2 linked regions of the Saccharomyces cerevisiae S288C genome follow. The protein of the gene in region 2 interacts with the protein of the main gene of each other region in a pairwise test. Each region holds a gene or a part of one and is shown on either strand. Other genes may lie near its edges.

Region 1 (9,596 bases), on a different chromosome or scaffold from region 2:
AAGATGGAAGCTGATCTCATGTAATAACTGCGGGGTGTACTTTGATAATTTTTGGGATTCCATTGTTATTAATAGCTTTGATATCAGACATACAGAATACCAGAGATTTTCCTCAAAAATATGGCAATGCACAAAGGGGGATCAATAGTTATATAAATTAAGATTATTACTTCTTCTTTGTTTTATGTGTTGTTATTCACTATCCCACTGCATTATCAATCCTTACATATCAGCTTCCGTTAAACCCGATGACTATCTCTCAATCATCATACTATCTTCTTACACCGTATATGATAATTACCAGCAATACTAATGCTAGGAGACAGACCATCTTTGATTCCTATTCCAATAAAGTTAAACTGTGATATTGGTTTATTGGATAAGTTCATATCCTAAAACGTGTTGACAACACTTCGGGAGTTTCCAGTAAGTAAAATTTGTATGGAGGGTTGGCCGAGTGGTCTAAGGCGGCAGACTTAAGATCTGTTGGACGGTTGTCCGCGCGAGTTCGAACCTCGCATCCTTCAGTAATTTTTTTTTTTAATTTATTTTTGTGTTGCAAGCGTTGATCCTTTCCATTATGCAGCCATAAGAGGAGGCTGGATATGAATTATTTATTACCAATATAAGGAGCATGTACCGTTGATTTTGAAGAGCCAATTGCTCCAAATTTTGGATTTTGTGTTCGAAAAAGGGAAGATTGCTCCAAACGCAAATAAGGAGGAAACCCGCTGATTGCACTCTTGGAAAAATAAAAATAAAAAGTGGTCTCAGAATTGTTTCAAAAGTGGCACTGACACAATATTTACAGGCGTTGATAGCTTCTTGTTTTAACAATACGATTTAATCTCGGAGTAGTTAAGCCAAAGAATACGTGTTATCCGTAAGAGGCTTATTGCACGTAATCCCCAGTATAAATTATCCGCAAATCGAAGACAAATGTTTAAGAAATACAAAAATCAAGACTTGGACATGGCATTTTGGTGGAAGAAAAACCCCAAGACCCCTTCCGATTATGCCAGGTTGATCATCGAACAACTAAATAAATTCAGCTCACCCTCGCTGACTCAGGATAACAAACGAAAGGTACAAGAAGAGTGCACAAAATATCTAATTGGCACTAAACATTTTATTGTCGGTGATACGGATCCTCACCCAACTCCGGAAGCCATTGACGAGCTTTATACTGCCATGCATCGTGCCGACGTGTTCTATGAACTGCTACTTCATTTTGTGGATTTGGAATTCGAAGCAAGGAGAGAATGCATGCTTATATTCTCTATATGCCTTGGATACTCTAAGGATAATAAATTCGTCACAGTAGATTATTTAGTCTCGCAACCAAAGACCATATCTTTAATGTTGAGGACTGCGGAAGTTGCTCTACAACAAAAGGGTTGCCAAGATATCTTTTTAACGGTAGGGAATATGATTATTGAATGTATCAAATACGAACAACTTTGTAGGATTATATTAAAGGACCCTCAACTATGGAAATTCTTTGAGTTTGCGAAACTGGGTAATTTCGAAATCAGTACGGAATCTTTACAAATATTAAGTGCCGCATTTACTGCACATCCTAAATTAGTGTCTAAGGAATTCTTCAGTAATGAGATTAATATCATAAGATTCATTAAATGTATTAACAAGTTAATGGCTCATGGAAGCTACGTAACGAAAAGGCAGAGCACTAAACTGTTGGCCTCATTAATTGTGATAAGATCTAACAACGCGTTGATGAATATATATATCAACTCCCCAGAAAACTTAAAGCTCATAATGACTTTAATGACTGACAAATCTAAAAACTTACAACTTGAAGCTTTCAACGTATTCAAGGTGATGGTAGCAAACCCAAGGAAGTCAAAACCTGTTTTTGACATTCTTGTTAAAAACAGAGATAAACTATTGACGTATTTTAAAACTTTCGGTTTAGATTCTCAGGATTCTACTTTTCTTGATGAAAGAGAATTCATCGTTCAAGAAATTGATTCCTTGCCGCGTATAATTTCGTCCACAACAGAAGTTTCTAATAATAATGCATCCTCAAGTAACGTCGCCAGTATAACTTCTCCATCATCAGTAATGAACAATCAATCATCCATCTTAACACATTCAACTTCACCTGATTCAAGATAACTATAAAACTTGGTTCACTTTATAAAAAATGGAAAGTTCTCAGGCAGTGGGTCGTGACATGAATATTCAAAAGTAAAATTATATATAGGAAAGTGTTTATTTGCATAAAAAGGGAAAAATAGTTCAGACTTTTGTATTTTTACGTATTTATACAAAAAAAGGTTGGTACCGGAGGCTGAGGAAGCCAGTACAGTTGGATCCGGTACATGGAATTGAGCAATCAACCGTAAATATGAGCGCTTTCTCAAGATATTAAATTATTATAAAACAATTTATTTATCCAATTTATACATGATTTGGATCCTCCTTTGGCTATGTATGTTACCTCTCCTTTCCTTCTTCCTTTTTTGTTTTAACTTTTTTGTTCAAGCTTTTATTGTTTCTTAGTAAATTTGATGATGCTGAACTAGATGGTTGGGAAAATAGTGGTAATCTCTTACTAGTCTCCTGCCCTGTAGGTGATGTGATTCGCTGCCCTTTATTTGCATTAAACAATGCATTAGATTTGGACGTTTTTGGATCTTCGATCTTTTCAAAAAGATTCAGGTTAGTTTCTGATTTACGAATGATGTTGGATTCTTTAGCAATTGTCAGATCTTTCAACTTCCGCTCCCAAAGTGGCACCTGTTGATCCAAGATGGCATTTAGTTCAAGAAGTTTTTCTTCATTACATAACCTTTCCTTCGGGTTAAACGGTCCAAATTGGTATCCGCCTTTACCATCAAATTTTAACAGATAGTTATGAAAATGCCATAAACTTGTCCTGTGGCAAACTGATATTAACGAGATACCAAAATTTTGCGCATTTTCGTACATCCTTTGTTCCATTTCTGGGGCTACTGCAGATGTACATTCGTCGAGCACAGCAAACTTGGGTTTATGATAGTACATCCTTGCCATAGCTAACCTTTGTTGGACACCAATTGTTAATTCTTCGGACCAATTTCTTACTATACTGAATGCATCACGAACTTTAATGGCGCATGGTGACTGATTGTCTTCCGTCGACAACTGCTGTGAATCATTTTTGGAAGTCCTTTGCGCCAGCAGAAGTGACATATTTTCAGTGACTAAATCCTCCAAATCTAATAATTGCAGAATTTTTATTAAATCTGCATCGCCTAGATCATAATCATTGTGATATCTTTCTTTGAATTGTTCAATACTGTCTGGATAAATAATCTGTTCCCTGAATGTCGACCTATTGCCCATATACGGCCTTTGGGGTAAATAAAATATTGCGCAATCTCTATCCACAGTTCTACGCGGCATTATTAACTTGGATTGATGATTTTTATTGGGAGTCGCCCTTATCGGCCAAAGCCCGCCTAGAATACGAAATAATGAAGATTTACCGCAACCGTTGGGCCCAATAATTAGTAGATGATTTCCATGCTTCAGATCAAAACTTAGCTCCGGTACTAGAACTTGATTGGCAGGTGTTATTAAAGGAATATTTTCAAACTTTATCCTTGAATCATCATATTCCACTATACACCTTTCATCTCTTGGTTCTTTTTCGTCATCACCTTTATTAGCATCCAACAAATCATTGAACTTGTTCAATCTCAATCTGATACCGCGTAATTGTTGTATATTTCTCTTCAGTTCCACAAATCTTCCGATAGAGCTAGATGCAGTGACTAATAATCTTCTATTTGTGATGAAATCAGCCGTCATATCATTCCCGGGTTCCTTAAGCTGTAAGGTGTCTTCACTAGGTTTGTTTTTGAAAAATATTGGAATCGAGCATAGTACCAAGCCAGCTGCGCCCCAAGTATATTTAATGACAAATGCAGTAGCAACATCATAAATAGCTCTTGCCTTTATTTCTCTGTTTAAAAATAGCACCAAACGGTAAAATGAATAATCAACGTTTTCTAGTTCCCTCTTTTGCCCTCTTAGCAGTGCAATTTCTTCATTGCTTGAATGTAGATTCGAGTGTAAAGATCTGAACCAACTTTCCAAAGATGCGCTTGCCATAGTTAACCTAGTGAAATTCGGTTGAATCAATTTTAGTAATGAATTGGAGGCGTAGACAATTAAGCCCAGTGCCAAAGTTCCTTCACCCATAACACTAGTGTTTGAGGTTAATAATTTGAATGAACAGAGGATCAAATCCAGCATTGGCTTTAATAGCTGATTCAGTAATAATGACGAGTTCATTGAAAATGTGTAAATATCTTTTGTCAAATTATCCTGAATTTCTGAAACAGATTCAGCAGAAGCTACGGAATAGAAAGTATGGTGATTAGATAGATACTTTGAGAGTAGAAAGTCTGAAACTTTCCTATTAATAGTGACAGCACAAAGTTTTGTCGTGTAACTGATCAGTGAATTAATAAAACTGGCGGGAATTCCAAGGATCATCCATTTCCCCAACAATATCTTTGTGAAGTTTGCGTATTGAGCTCTTACTAGTGTGGACACTAATTGACCATCTAAAGTAGCCACACGAAGAGACAGCAATGTTCTGATGTTCAGAAGAATAGCCTGTGTAATAAATAAAATGAGGCACTTCTTATCATGAAGCAAAAGTTTGAACAAAAAATCTACCTTTCCTTTTCGCTCTCCCCCCTTATGATTAGTCTTGCTTTCTTTATCAATTATTATTGCACCATCTTCTGAATCTGTGCTATGTTTGGAGACTATCGTTAACTCTTCTTTGCTACTTTCATCTTCCTCTCTATCTACTGCGGTTTCTTTTCCCTCTTCAATTTTCTTATTTTCTAAAACCGTTGACTCAGAATCCTTCTTATCAGTTTTGTTGTTACTAGAACTGGAATTTGAATTGTAAAGCGTGGCTAGCAACAATATTATGTATGAAGAACGCAGTAAATTTACTCTATGCTTCTGATAAAATGCAGAAGCTGTTGAGATCATTATAAAATCTTTCTTCGGTAACTTTTAATTGTATTATTATCCCTTTTGAGTCTTTTCCATATTCAAGACGAACAAAATACAGATAACAATGTTGAAGACGTTTGTTTTGTACCGGATTGAGGACAAGATGATACTTAAATATAATATTATCTTTGATCGAGCAAAGCCATCAATATCATCATCTAACATTCACTTTACTCCACATTTCATTGCCGCCCTTAATCTTTCGGAGGGTGGTAAAAACTTTACGGTGATAGTTGTAATTAACGCCGAAGGAATATACATCAAAGACGAAAGAACATTAATTGCATATATTCCAAAAATATGAATAATTACCAAATTATTATTAATTTTTGTTTTGAAATTTAAATAAAGCTATTAAATAAGGATGATGGTGTGGTATGTACTATAATTCAATATAAGAGATTAAGATAACGCTGTAAATGGTTTGGTACAATTGAAAAAAAGTGATAGAGCATTTACGAAAAAGAAAAAAATTATGCTACCAAATGTGCATTATTGTTAACAGGTCCATTTGAATCTTTTGGTGTCACGTCGGGGTGACTTAGCTCTGTTCTATTACTCGTACTACCTGTGACATCTGTATTATTGGCAGAACTACTGTTGTCGATAGCGGTTATTTCATTACGATTCACCTGTTTTTCGAAATCAGCATCATCATCATCACCCAAGTTATGGTCGCCGAAACGGTCTGCAGAAATGGCAGAACCATCCCCATACGTGTAAATTTCGCCTTTCCTATTCGTCACAGATCCGGACATGTAACGACCACTCCGTCTGTTCCTCCACCACGTATAAATTATCAATCCTGTGGCGATAAAAGACAACGCAAATGCTGTCCATATCAGCCCTGTATAGGCGGGACCGGCTTTAAACACAACACCATATTTATCATCTGCCGTACCGCTCTTTATAATGGCAATCATAACGGATATGATAATGGCTGCCAATACAGTGGCTACACCAACGCAAACGTGTAGAGCTAGGGCAATGAGCCATAATGGTTGTTTGAACATATATCTGTTAAAGTACAGTAATATAATAAAAATCATGGTAAAGAAGGAAAAGATGATCGCTAAGAGGTTCAAAGCCAAAACAGACCTCACTGCTGGCACATATTGGTGCTCTCTGTGTAAAAGTTTCCCTTCTAGGTAAAGATCGTTGGCGCTAATATTCAGGGCGTTCAGATATGGTTGGAAGTCTGATGTGACTAATGCGTCATAAATAATCGATCTAAAATCCAAGTTTTGTACAGCATGTGGGGAGTTACAATCTAGGATCTTGTTTTCCAGGTTAGCATGGCATAGCGTGAAAATGGATAAGCGATAGTAAATCGGAATTTTCAGATACTCTAGTATATTCGGCGTCATGGCGTTCAATTCTTCTGCGGAAATCGGTTGGACGGATTTGGCATCCGCTAATATATCTAAAATGGGCAAGAAGGTCTGAGGGTTTTCTTGAGCCCAGGAAGTCAGCGTCACTAAAGATGAAAATGTTGTTTTAGGATCAGTGGATGCCCCTAAAAGACTGAAGAGATATGGAATGTACTGTACGGAGCTTGAATTACCGGATAGGCCCGATTGTAATTCGGACAAGATGGACAAAGTTTCGTTGGTGTTACTCGAGGAGCTTATCACATCATCTAATCCAATTAGCTGTTGAGTAGATTGAGTTGTATTTGTCACCGCAGCTAGAGATTGGACCGAAGTGACAACCATTGTCGAGTTGTCCGAATTTTCCATCAATTGGGTTAAGGCAGCAAACGCCTTTTTTGCAGATGATGACTGAGTGAGGTTTTGTTCCAGCAAATCAGATAGAGTGCTCAATGTCTGATTTGTAGAGGTGGTCTGGTTTAGCAGCAATTCCACTGCATCAAATGCGGGGGCGCTTGCCTGCGGCACTAGTGGTTGCAAAGTACTAAACGTGTTATTTAGGGAACCTCCGTTTGAAATTGTGTTTTGTAACTGAGTTAATAGTGTTTGGGCTAAAGAAGATGAAATAGTAGTGTTCATCAAGGTCGCCAGAGCCGTCATTGTAGCTGTTTGGTTCGTGGAGAAAGCGAATAGCCTGAATACCGGTAACAATTGCGCCTTTTCTGACATTGTCAGATTATTCAGAGTTAGCAATGCATCTGTGGAATTCTGTGGGTTATCGGAGTCTTTTAATAAGTCCAGAACCAAAGTAGTTGAGTCACTGGAAGAGTTAGAGCTTGCGGAAGACAGCGAAGCAGAAACTAACCTTGAGAGGCCATCTAGTGTTTCAGTTGCGTTGTCTGAATACTTCAGCAGCCCATTAATCTCTGTCAACTGCCTCGTGCTAGAAGCAGGATTGCCGCTGATCGCTAAGGGAGCCAATTCGGTCAATGATTCGATGGTTACTGTGGTGTTGTCAGCATTAGACAAAAGCGTCAATAGCGGCGTCAGCGCGGGAGTATCAGCAATATTTTTCATGGCGCCAAAAATATCATCCAAGGAGCTGTTCGGAGCCGTCAAAGCGGACCCTAATATTGTCAAAATAGGGCCTATCTGCGGGATCACCTTGCTTACATTGATGTGTTTGATATCGGCTTCACCGATGTATATATTCGTTAAGGGTTTGTAGTTGGCGGTGGAGCCAGCAGTGGCTACAATAACCAATATCAGTGTGGTGAACATGAATAAAAGGCACACAGACAATATCGTCCAAATAATTCCCTTCGACAGGGGGGTACGGTGCTTTTCGATCCTCATGTTTTTGTTGTTTTCTTTGCTTTCCTAACTCTTCGTATGAGGATTTTCGATGGAGCAGGATGAGGAGAAATAGTACCACATGTATATATCCATTACAAAAAGGTTTATATACAATTACAATAGACCCTTGTTGGGGTTTCTGAAAAAAGAAGTAGTCGATGCCATCGGCAATAATACGGAATTACGAGAAACACAATCCCGATCCTTTTTTGGGTAATTACTTCACCGATTCTACCGATTTATCATGCCAAAAAAAATTCACCGTGGGTTCTAGAAGTGCCCTTTGAGGATTGTAGCCACTCTAACCCACACGGCCTCCTTACTAGCTGACTAAGGTGACAAAACCGCAAGGACTGGAAAGTCGCCACTCATCTGAAAATTCTCAAGTTTTTCACTACTGAGTTTATGCTTTCGAATTTTTTTGTTCGGTAATAGCACGGCGGTTCGATTCAATTCCGCCGCTCCGAGCGATGCTCCGCAAAACTCAGTAATAAGCTTTCTGATGGTTCACCCCTTTTTTAGCACGCGGGGTGTAACTCAACAGAAAAATGTGCCATAGAACAAGACTAGGCAAAAGCCAAGGAGCGTTTGCCATGAACTTCCACAAGTAAAGCTCGTTGACCAGTTGATCAGTTGAGGGGGGTACACACGACTAGCGCTTTCAGATATTAAAAAGTTTAGATGTAGGTTTTAGCGGTAACAGTTATATAAATCGTGTTTCTTCTCTTGATGAAACAAAAAAATGCTAGAAAAACTTTGTCGTTTCTTACTTTTGGTGCGCTTTGCAGTTTTCGTGGCTAGACTTAGAATCATTTCTCCTCAGATTTCTTGATTAAAGTTTGGTGCGAAGCCCTACTCTAACATTGGTGTTCTTCTTTTCATTCACGCAAGTTAAGTCCAGGAAGGTGAGCAAATGCTCATCCTTCTGTTCATGCGTGACGGCTGAATTATCCTTATCTGGCGTACCCGTGCAGCCGTTTCCGTGCCTCGGTTCCTCCGAGATATCCTTAGGGACCGCCAGGGACCATGATTGCGTCAACTGTTGTCACCGCTCCAGAGGATCCTCTGTAACCTTTTCAACCATAAAAATAGAAAGGGCACAGGGTTGGGGTATTTGAATTTTTTTTTTGGGTTTTTTCGTATTACTTATTACTTACCTTCTTTTCTATATAATTTTGTTTTTCCCTGGTAGAGCGGAATCTTCCCACTAAATTTTTAGCAGAGAATCCTCGGGTTTGTAAACCATGTTATAGTTAAACCCCGATATTACACCATTAAAATCATTTCTAAATATGCGGTCGTCGATGATCAGCTGCAGGGAAATGCCAAAATATGGACCCCATAGAGGTCTTGGCTTGTTCATATCGTTGGGTCGATTTCTGTTCCCAGTGTTATTTGGTTGAATGGGAACAGTCGCGTCTTGCCCCATCTTGTCTCTGCCGCTTTCGTCGAATCTGACTTTGCAATTGACGTTGCATATCAACGTGCCGGATCCCGGAATAGCGTGATAGTCTACTCCTGTTAGGGCATGTTGTGTTTGTACGACCTGGTTTTGCCACATTTGCAGAAAAACTGTTGCTTGCGCGAAGGGGGTAGCATTAAATATTATTCTGCAGTTGTTTGGATTAAAAAGCTGTACGAATTGGGCCAATTTGTTGGAGTCCGGATCATCCAAATGCGCTAATATCTTCTTCGTAAATGTGGCCGTTATTTGTGCTTGATTTGCGTCATTCATTACCATAGTATTACTATTGGTGTTCATATTTCTGTTATTACTGTTATTAGTTTGGCGTTTTGCCTGACGATCAGCCTGGTGGGGCCAAG
Region 2 (7,364 bases):
CCAATTATTTGGTAATACAAACAGCTCCCGTGAAAGAAGTGCACTAGGAAGTATGATTAGGAAGCAAGCTGAATCATATGCGAACTCCACTTGGGAGGTCTTACAATACAAGGATTCCGGTGAGCCAGGGGTTTTGGAAGTATTTGTAACAATTAATGGCAAAGTCCAGAACATCACCTTCCATATACCAAAAACTATTTATATGAAATTCAAATCTCAAACAATGCCGCTACAAAAGATTAAGAATTGCCTTATTGAAAAATCTTCTGCATCGTTACCAAATAATCCCAAAACGTCTAATCCAGCAGGCGGTCAGCTATTCAAAATTACTCTACCGGAATCTGTCTTTCTGGAAGAAAAGGAAAACTGCACTAGTATCTTCAACGATGAAAATGTACTTGGTGTATTTGAGGGCACTATCACTCCTCATCAAAGAGCGATCATGGATTTGGGAGCTTCGGTAACGTTCCGCTCAAAAGCAATGGGTGCGTTAGGCAAGGGAATACAGCAGGGTTTTGAAATGAAGGATCTTTCAATGGCGGAAAATGAAAGGTATCTGAGTGGATTTTCAATGGACATTGGCTATTTACTACATTTCCCAACATCAATTGGGTATGAATTTTTTTCATTATTCAAGTCATGGGGAGATACTATTACTATATTAGTTTTGAAACCATCCAACCAGGCTCAGGAAATAAATGCCTCATCATTAGGACAAATATACAAACAAATGTTTGAAAAAAAGAAAGGTAAAATAGAAACATATTCTTACTTGGTTGATATTAAAGAAGATATCAATTTTGAGTTTGTATATTTTACAGATATCTCAAAATTGTACAGAAGACTATCACAGGAAACTACTAAATTAAAAGAAGAAAGAGGTCTGCAGTTTTTACTCTTGTTACAATCTCCGTTTATCACTAAGCTCTTAGGCACAATCCGGCTTCTAAACCAGATGCCCATTGTTAAGCTTTCCTTGAATGAAGTTCTTCTACCCCAATTGAACTGGCAACCGACATTATTGAAGAAACTTGTTAACCACGTTTTATCCAGTGGTTCGTGGATTTCTCACTTGATCAAGTTATCCCAGTATAGTAACATTCCAATCTGTAATTTGAGGCTGGATAGTATGGATTATATTATTGATGTTCTTTATGCAAGAAAACTAAAAAAAGAGAACATCGTGCTTTGGTGGAATGAGAAAGCTCCACTTCCAGATCATGGAGGCATTCAAAATGATTTTGATTTAAATACATCATGGATAATGAATGATTCAGAATTTCCCAAAATTAATAACTCAGGTGTGTATGACAATGTAGTTCTCGATGTTGGTGTTGATAATTTAACAGTGAACACAATTTTGACATCAGCATTAATCAATGATGCTGAAGGCAGTGATCTAGTTAACAATAATATGGGTATAGATGACAAAGATGCCGTTATTAACTCGCCATCTGAATTCGTGCACGACGCCTTTTCTAATGACGCTTTGAATGTTTTAAGAGGTATGTTAAAGGAGTGGTGGGATGAGGCCCTAAAAGAAAATTCAACCGCAGATTTGTTGGTAAATTCCCTGGCAAGTTGGGTTCAAAACCCGAATGCGAAACTATTCGACGGATTACTAAGATATCACGTTCATAACTTAACAAAAAAAGCCTTACTTCAATTAGTAAATGAATTTAGTGCACTTGGCTCAACTATTGTATATGCAGACAGGAATCAAATTCTAATAAAGACAAACAAGTACTCACCTGAAAACTGTTACGCCTACAGCCAATATATGATGAAGGCAGTTAGAACAAATCCAATGTTTAGTTATCTGGACTTAAATATCAAACGTTATTGGGATCTGCTAATATGGATGGATAAGTTTAATTTTAGTGGATTAGCATGTATTGAAATAGAGGAAAAGGAAAATCAGGATTATACCGCTGTTTCGCAATGGCAACTAAAGAAGTTTCTGTCACCAATATATCAGCCCGAATTTGAGGATTGGATGATGATCATATTGGATAGTATGCTAAAGACAAAGCAGAGCTATCTAAAATTGAATTCAGGGACGCAAAGACCTACCCAAATAGTTAATGTAAAAAAACAAGATAAGGAAGATAGTGTTGAAAACTCGTTGAACGGATTTTCTCACCTTTTTTCCAAACCACTAATGAAAAGAGTCAAAAAGCTTTTTAAAAACCAGCAAGAGTTCATTTTAGATCCTCAGTATGAGGCAGACTATGTTATTCCTGTTCTTCCTGGTTCCCATCTGAATGTGAAAAATCCCCTTCTAGAACTTGTCAAATCACTCTGCCATGTCATGTTACTTTCAAAGAGTACAATTTTAGAAATCAGGACCCTGAGAAAAGAACTGCTGAAGATATTTGAATTGCGTGAGTTTGCTAAAGTAGCGGAATTCAAAGATCCAAGTTTGAGTCTCGTGGTGCCGGATTTTTTATGTGAATACTGTTTTTTCATTTCTGATATTGACTTTTGTAAGGCAGCTCCTGAATCTATTTTTTCATGCGTCAGATGTCACAAAGCCTTTAATCAAGTATTGTTGCAAGAACACCTGATTCAAAAACTACGTTCTGATATCGAATCCTATTTAATTCAAGATTTGAGATGCTCCAGATGTCATAAAGTGAAACGTGACTATATGAGTGCCCACTGTCCATGTGCCGGCGCGTGGGAAGGAACTCTCCCCAGAGAAAGCATTGTTCAAAAGTTAAATGTGTTTAAGCAAGTAGCCAAGTATTACGGTTTTGATATATTATTGAGTTGTATTGCTGATTTGACCATATGAGTAAGCAGTATATAACGCGAGGTTCAATGGCCTCTTTACCATGAAAAAAAAAAAAAAAAAAAAAAAAAGGTAAGGAAAAAGAGTATTTTCAATTCGTTTCTGAACATATAAATATAAATAACCGAAAAATTAGCCCTTGAACATAATTAACACTCTTCTTTGATATTTAAATCACAAGTACTTTTCTTTTATTTTCTTCTTAATACTTTTGGAAATAAAATGAATGTGACCACTCCGGAAGTTGCTTTTAGGGAATATCAAACCAACTGTCTCGCATCGTATATTTCTGCTGATCCAGACATAACTCCTTCAAATTTAATCTTGCAAGGTTATAGTGGAACAGGAAAAACCTACACTTTGAAGAAGTATTTTAATGCGAATCCAAATTTGCATGCAGTATGGCTGGAACCTGTTGAGTTGGTTTCTTGGAAGCCCTTACTGCAGGCGATAGCACGTACTGTACAATATAAATTGAAAACCCTATATCCAAACATTCCCACCACAGATTACGATCCTTTACAGGTTGAAGAGCCATTTCTTTTGGTAAAGACGTTGCACAATATTTTTGTCCAATATGAATCTTTGCAAGAAAAGACTTGCTTGTTCTTGATATTGGATGGTTTCGATAGTTTACAAGATTTAGACGCCGCACTGTTTAACAAATATATCAAACTAAATGAATTACTTCCAAAAGATTCTAAAATTAATATAAAATTCATTTACACGATGTTAGAGACATCATTTTTGCAAAGATATTCTACACATTGCATTCCAACTGTTATGTTTCCGAGGTATAATGTGGACGAAGTTTCTACTATATTAGTGATGTCTAGATGTGGCGAACTCATGGAAGATTCTTGTCTACGTAAGCGTATCATTGAAGAGCAGATAACGGACTGTACAGACGATCAATTTCAAAATGTAGCTGCGAACTTCATTCACTTAATTGTGCAGGCTTTTCATTCTTATACTGGAAACGACATATTCGCATTGAATGACTTGATAGACTTCAAATGGCCCAAGTATGTATCTCGCATTACTAAGGAAAACATATTTGAACCACTGGCTCTTTACAAAAGTGCCATCAAACTATTTTTAAGCACAGATGATAATTTAAGTGAAAATGGACAAGGTGAAAGCGCGATAACCACAAATCGTGATGACCTTGAGAACAGTCAAACTTACGACTTATCAATAATTTCGAAGTATCTGCTCATAGCCTCATATATTTGTTCATATCTGGAACCTAGATACGATGCGAGTATTTTCTCTAGGAAAACACGTATCATACAAGGTAGAGCTGCTTATGGACGAAGAAAGAAGAAAGAAGTTAACCCTAGATATTTACAGCCTTCTTTATTTGCTATTGAAAGACTTTTGGCTATTTTCCAAGCTATATTCCCTATTCAAGGTAAGGCGGAGAGTGGTTCCCTATCTGCACTTCGTGAGGAATCCTTAATGAAAGCGAATATCGAGGTTTTTCAAAATTTATCCGAATTGCATACATTGAAATTAATAGCTACAACCATGAACAAGAATATCGACTATTTGAGTCCTAAAGTCAGGTGGAAAGTAAACGTTCCCTGGGAAATTATTAAAGAAATATCAGAATCTGTTCATTTCAATATCAGCGATTACTTCAGCGATATTCACGAATGATTATCTCCCTGGAAGGTATCCAGAGGGCAGGATACGTTCGAAACAACAACTACGTTATATAAATATTTATACATAGTGGGATAGAATGAACAATTATCAAGTAAACCTTGTATTTTTTGTTCCCACGCTCTACGCTCTGTTTCTTGGATATGGTAATCAAAGATTAATACGTATAACCGTTATTAATTCAGTCCACTAGAAACTATTAAAAGCGCCCTACTGTATGGAAAAACAATGAATGAGGAGACTGAACGGCGCAAAATTGTTAGTTTAGTTGCTCTTTTTGGCGGCCGGCGATAATGTTCTTCACTTGGTATTCTTACCAGGATTGAGCCTGATTTTGTTTTGTCTTATTCTTTGCGATGTCTTCATTTTCTACAAAACCTCTAATTTCTCCGGCAATGGCCCTTGAAACGTCTTCAAAGACTTCAAATGTCACGGTGGGGGTTCTTTTATCTTTAACTAATCGATGAAGAGTTATTAGAATGGTTCTAAACTTATTTTTCAATTTTATTAACACCCTCTCAAATTCCATCACACTTTCATCATCGTTATTCATTTTCAAACCTTTCATTAAAGTACGAATGGTATGTATATTCTTTTCTAGTGTTGGACTATGCAATCCATACGATTCTATAACATCACACAAACCTTCCATTTGTCCCAGGAGCGTAAATCTTTGGAATCCCACTTGTAAACCATACTGTTTACCTTCTAGAAAGCTCTGCTTTATATTCTCATTCTGGCCCTCCAGAAAACCTTCTTGGTAATACTGTTCTTCTAGGTTTAGTAAATTATCAAAATCCATTTTTATTTGTCCAGTGATCTTTACTTTCCATTTACTCTTCAAATATGATAAGTGATTTGATTTAAACAAGTTTTTTTTCATTTTTCTTATAAAACGATTTCTCACCATGATTGAGATTTTTATATTAGTAAGATTATACTGAAAAGGCAAATGGCTACATAGCCAACAAAGAATAAAACAATAAAACAATAAAAAAAGACTTTTTTCTTCGTAAGCATCCTATTGAGAATATTAATCATTTACTTAAGTAGCTACAATACAAAATAGAGTAAAAAACTATTTCTCTTCACTTTCATTCACAATTGTTTGCCAGATCTAACTTCCTTTCCGGTTTTCTTAATCTTTTCTAAAATAAAATCGTAAGGAAGTGTAGTATATACATCTACTAATTGCTTTTCAAGGGATATATCTATTTTGGAAACGTCTGGTTCTAATTTCGTCAAAACTTTATTGACTGCACCAGAACATCCCGAGCAGGTCATGACGACATTGAATTGATAATGTTTTATCTCTGCCATCTTTTGCGCTAGTTCTCTCTTGTGTCGTTGGAAATCTCATCCTGCAATGTTTTAAGATGATTCAAGTCATTTAAGAAGCTCAAAAATGCACTACAAGATGTGCCAACTTTGCACCCCCAAAAAAAACTACCGCATCACGTGAAATTTATTAGAAAACTGAAAAAAAGACAACTTACGCATACGTAATACAAGATGTACATCTATTGCAATGATCATGTAACCTATCCTACGATTAATTATTTTTTAATCATCTAGAGCAGTGCCTCTAATTTCGTAAATATCATCAATGGCATTCCTTCGCAGGGGAGTGTCGGCAAACAATAACTCTATCCATTGGATTAGTTCGTCTGTCGCAAAAAGATAAAAATCCCCATTGTAAAACATCTCCATAATCTCCTTTAAATGTAATGGTAGAAACTTGCCCATAGTGGCGAATTTTTCTCTCATCTTTTTGTAACTTGGTTCCTTCGCTAATAATTGTATATCGGTGTTGTTCACTAATAAAGATACGAGCTCACCCAAATTTTCGGAATTGACCTCAGAGATAATCTGCCATTTTAATATTTCCTTTGTCACGCAATCGTTATATAAAAAGTTTAAGAAAGACAACAAGTAACGGGAACCTTCTTCACCTCTTATTTTCTGCAGTGGACGAACAATTTCCTTCAAGATATAAGGTAGCAGTTTCTCAATGGTGGCGTCCCACGATGGATTTCTCTCGTTCTCACGAAATTCGGTCAATTGATGCCTGATTAGTTGACAGACAATACGATATTTCATGTTCAGTTTAGTTTCCAGCAGGTTCCTTGTTAATTCTTTTATTCTATACAGCTTTTCATCTCGTTCTATTAGATATCTCATATCCACATATAATTGGCACCAATTGTGAGAAAAATTAGCTGTGCACATGGCCATATACGATGTCTGCAAAAGGTTGTATTTGTACGCAAAGTATTGCTCATCAACATGGCTATCTGCAAAGCTACTCTTGAAATTCTGTGAAATTGCCAAGAACAATTTTGGTAACTGTGTAACTTCAATGTGGTCTTTATCAAGTGATCCTACATCATGAGCTTTTAAATGTTCCTTTCCATTTTCTAGGGAAGCATCATCTATATTTTCGTCAATTGCCCAGGCTTCATCCCAGGCATTTTCTTCTTCTTCTGGTTCTTTTTCCTTCTCTTGATTTGTTTTTTCTTCCTCGTCGTCAATATTTACATCAATTTCATCACCCCATGCATCGGCATCATCATCCTCTACTTCCCAATTCCAATCATCATCTTTGGATACGGCATTATGGAGTTCTTTTTCGTTCTGTACATCTGAATCATTTTTTCCAATTTTTTCGCTCATCGTATTAGTATTGCTAGTAGTGAGCTCAACTACTTCCAAATTTTGCCAGCTCTTTTTTGGATCTTCAAATATACTTCTTATCTCACTAATATGCGATTCAAGAACTTTATCTAGTAATAAATTGTAGTATAATTGTTTGTTCATTAACAAATCCTGAATCTCTTTACCGGAATGTGTCCAATTGGTAACTTCTGATTTGGCAACTAGTCTAGTTAGTTTGTTATTTATG

What was found. Proteins that work in one complex are often made in the same cells at the same time.
Region 1: the proteins of ATX1 (region 2) and PXA2 interact in a protein complementation assay, tested with the Saccharomyces cerevisiae proteins (one large-scale study listed by BioGRID).

What each region holds. Positions count from the first base shown.
Region 1 is NC_001143.9:83,765-93,360, forward strand, and holds PXA2 (ATP-binding cassette long-chain fatty acid transporter PXA2), read right to left. Parts: upstream 5,023-9,596; coding exon 2,461-5,022; downstream 1-2,460. Other genes in the region: HYM1 (Hym1p), read left to right, coding at 940-2,139; FAT3 (Fat3p), read right to left, coding at 5,520-7,772; MTR2 (Mtr2p), read right to left, coding at 8,980-9,534.
Region 2 is NC_001146.8:152,084-159,447, forward strand, and holds ATX1 (copper metallochaperone ATX1), read right to left. Parts: upstream 5,783-7,364; coding exon 5,561-5,782; downstream 1-5,560. Other genes in the region: POL2 (DNA polymerase epsilon catalytic subunit), read left to right, coding at 1-2,797; ORC5 (origin recognition complex subunit 5), read left to right, coding at 3,017-4,456; ribosome biosynthesis protein LTO1, read right to left, coding at 4,776-5,264; DSL1 (Dsl1p), read right to left, coding at 6,026-7,364. UniProt on the Saccharomyces cerevisiae protein: Copper homeostasis factor that specifically transports copper to the secretory pathway for incorporation into copper enzymes destined for the cell surface or extracellular milieu.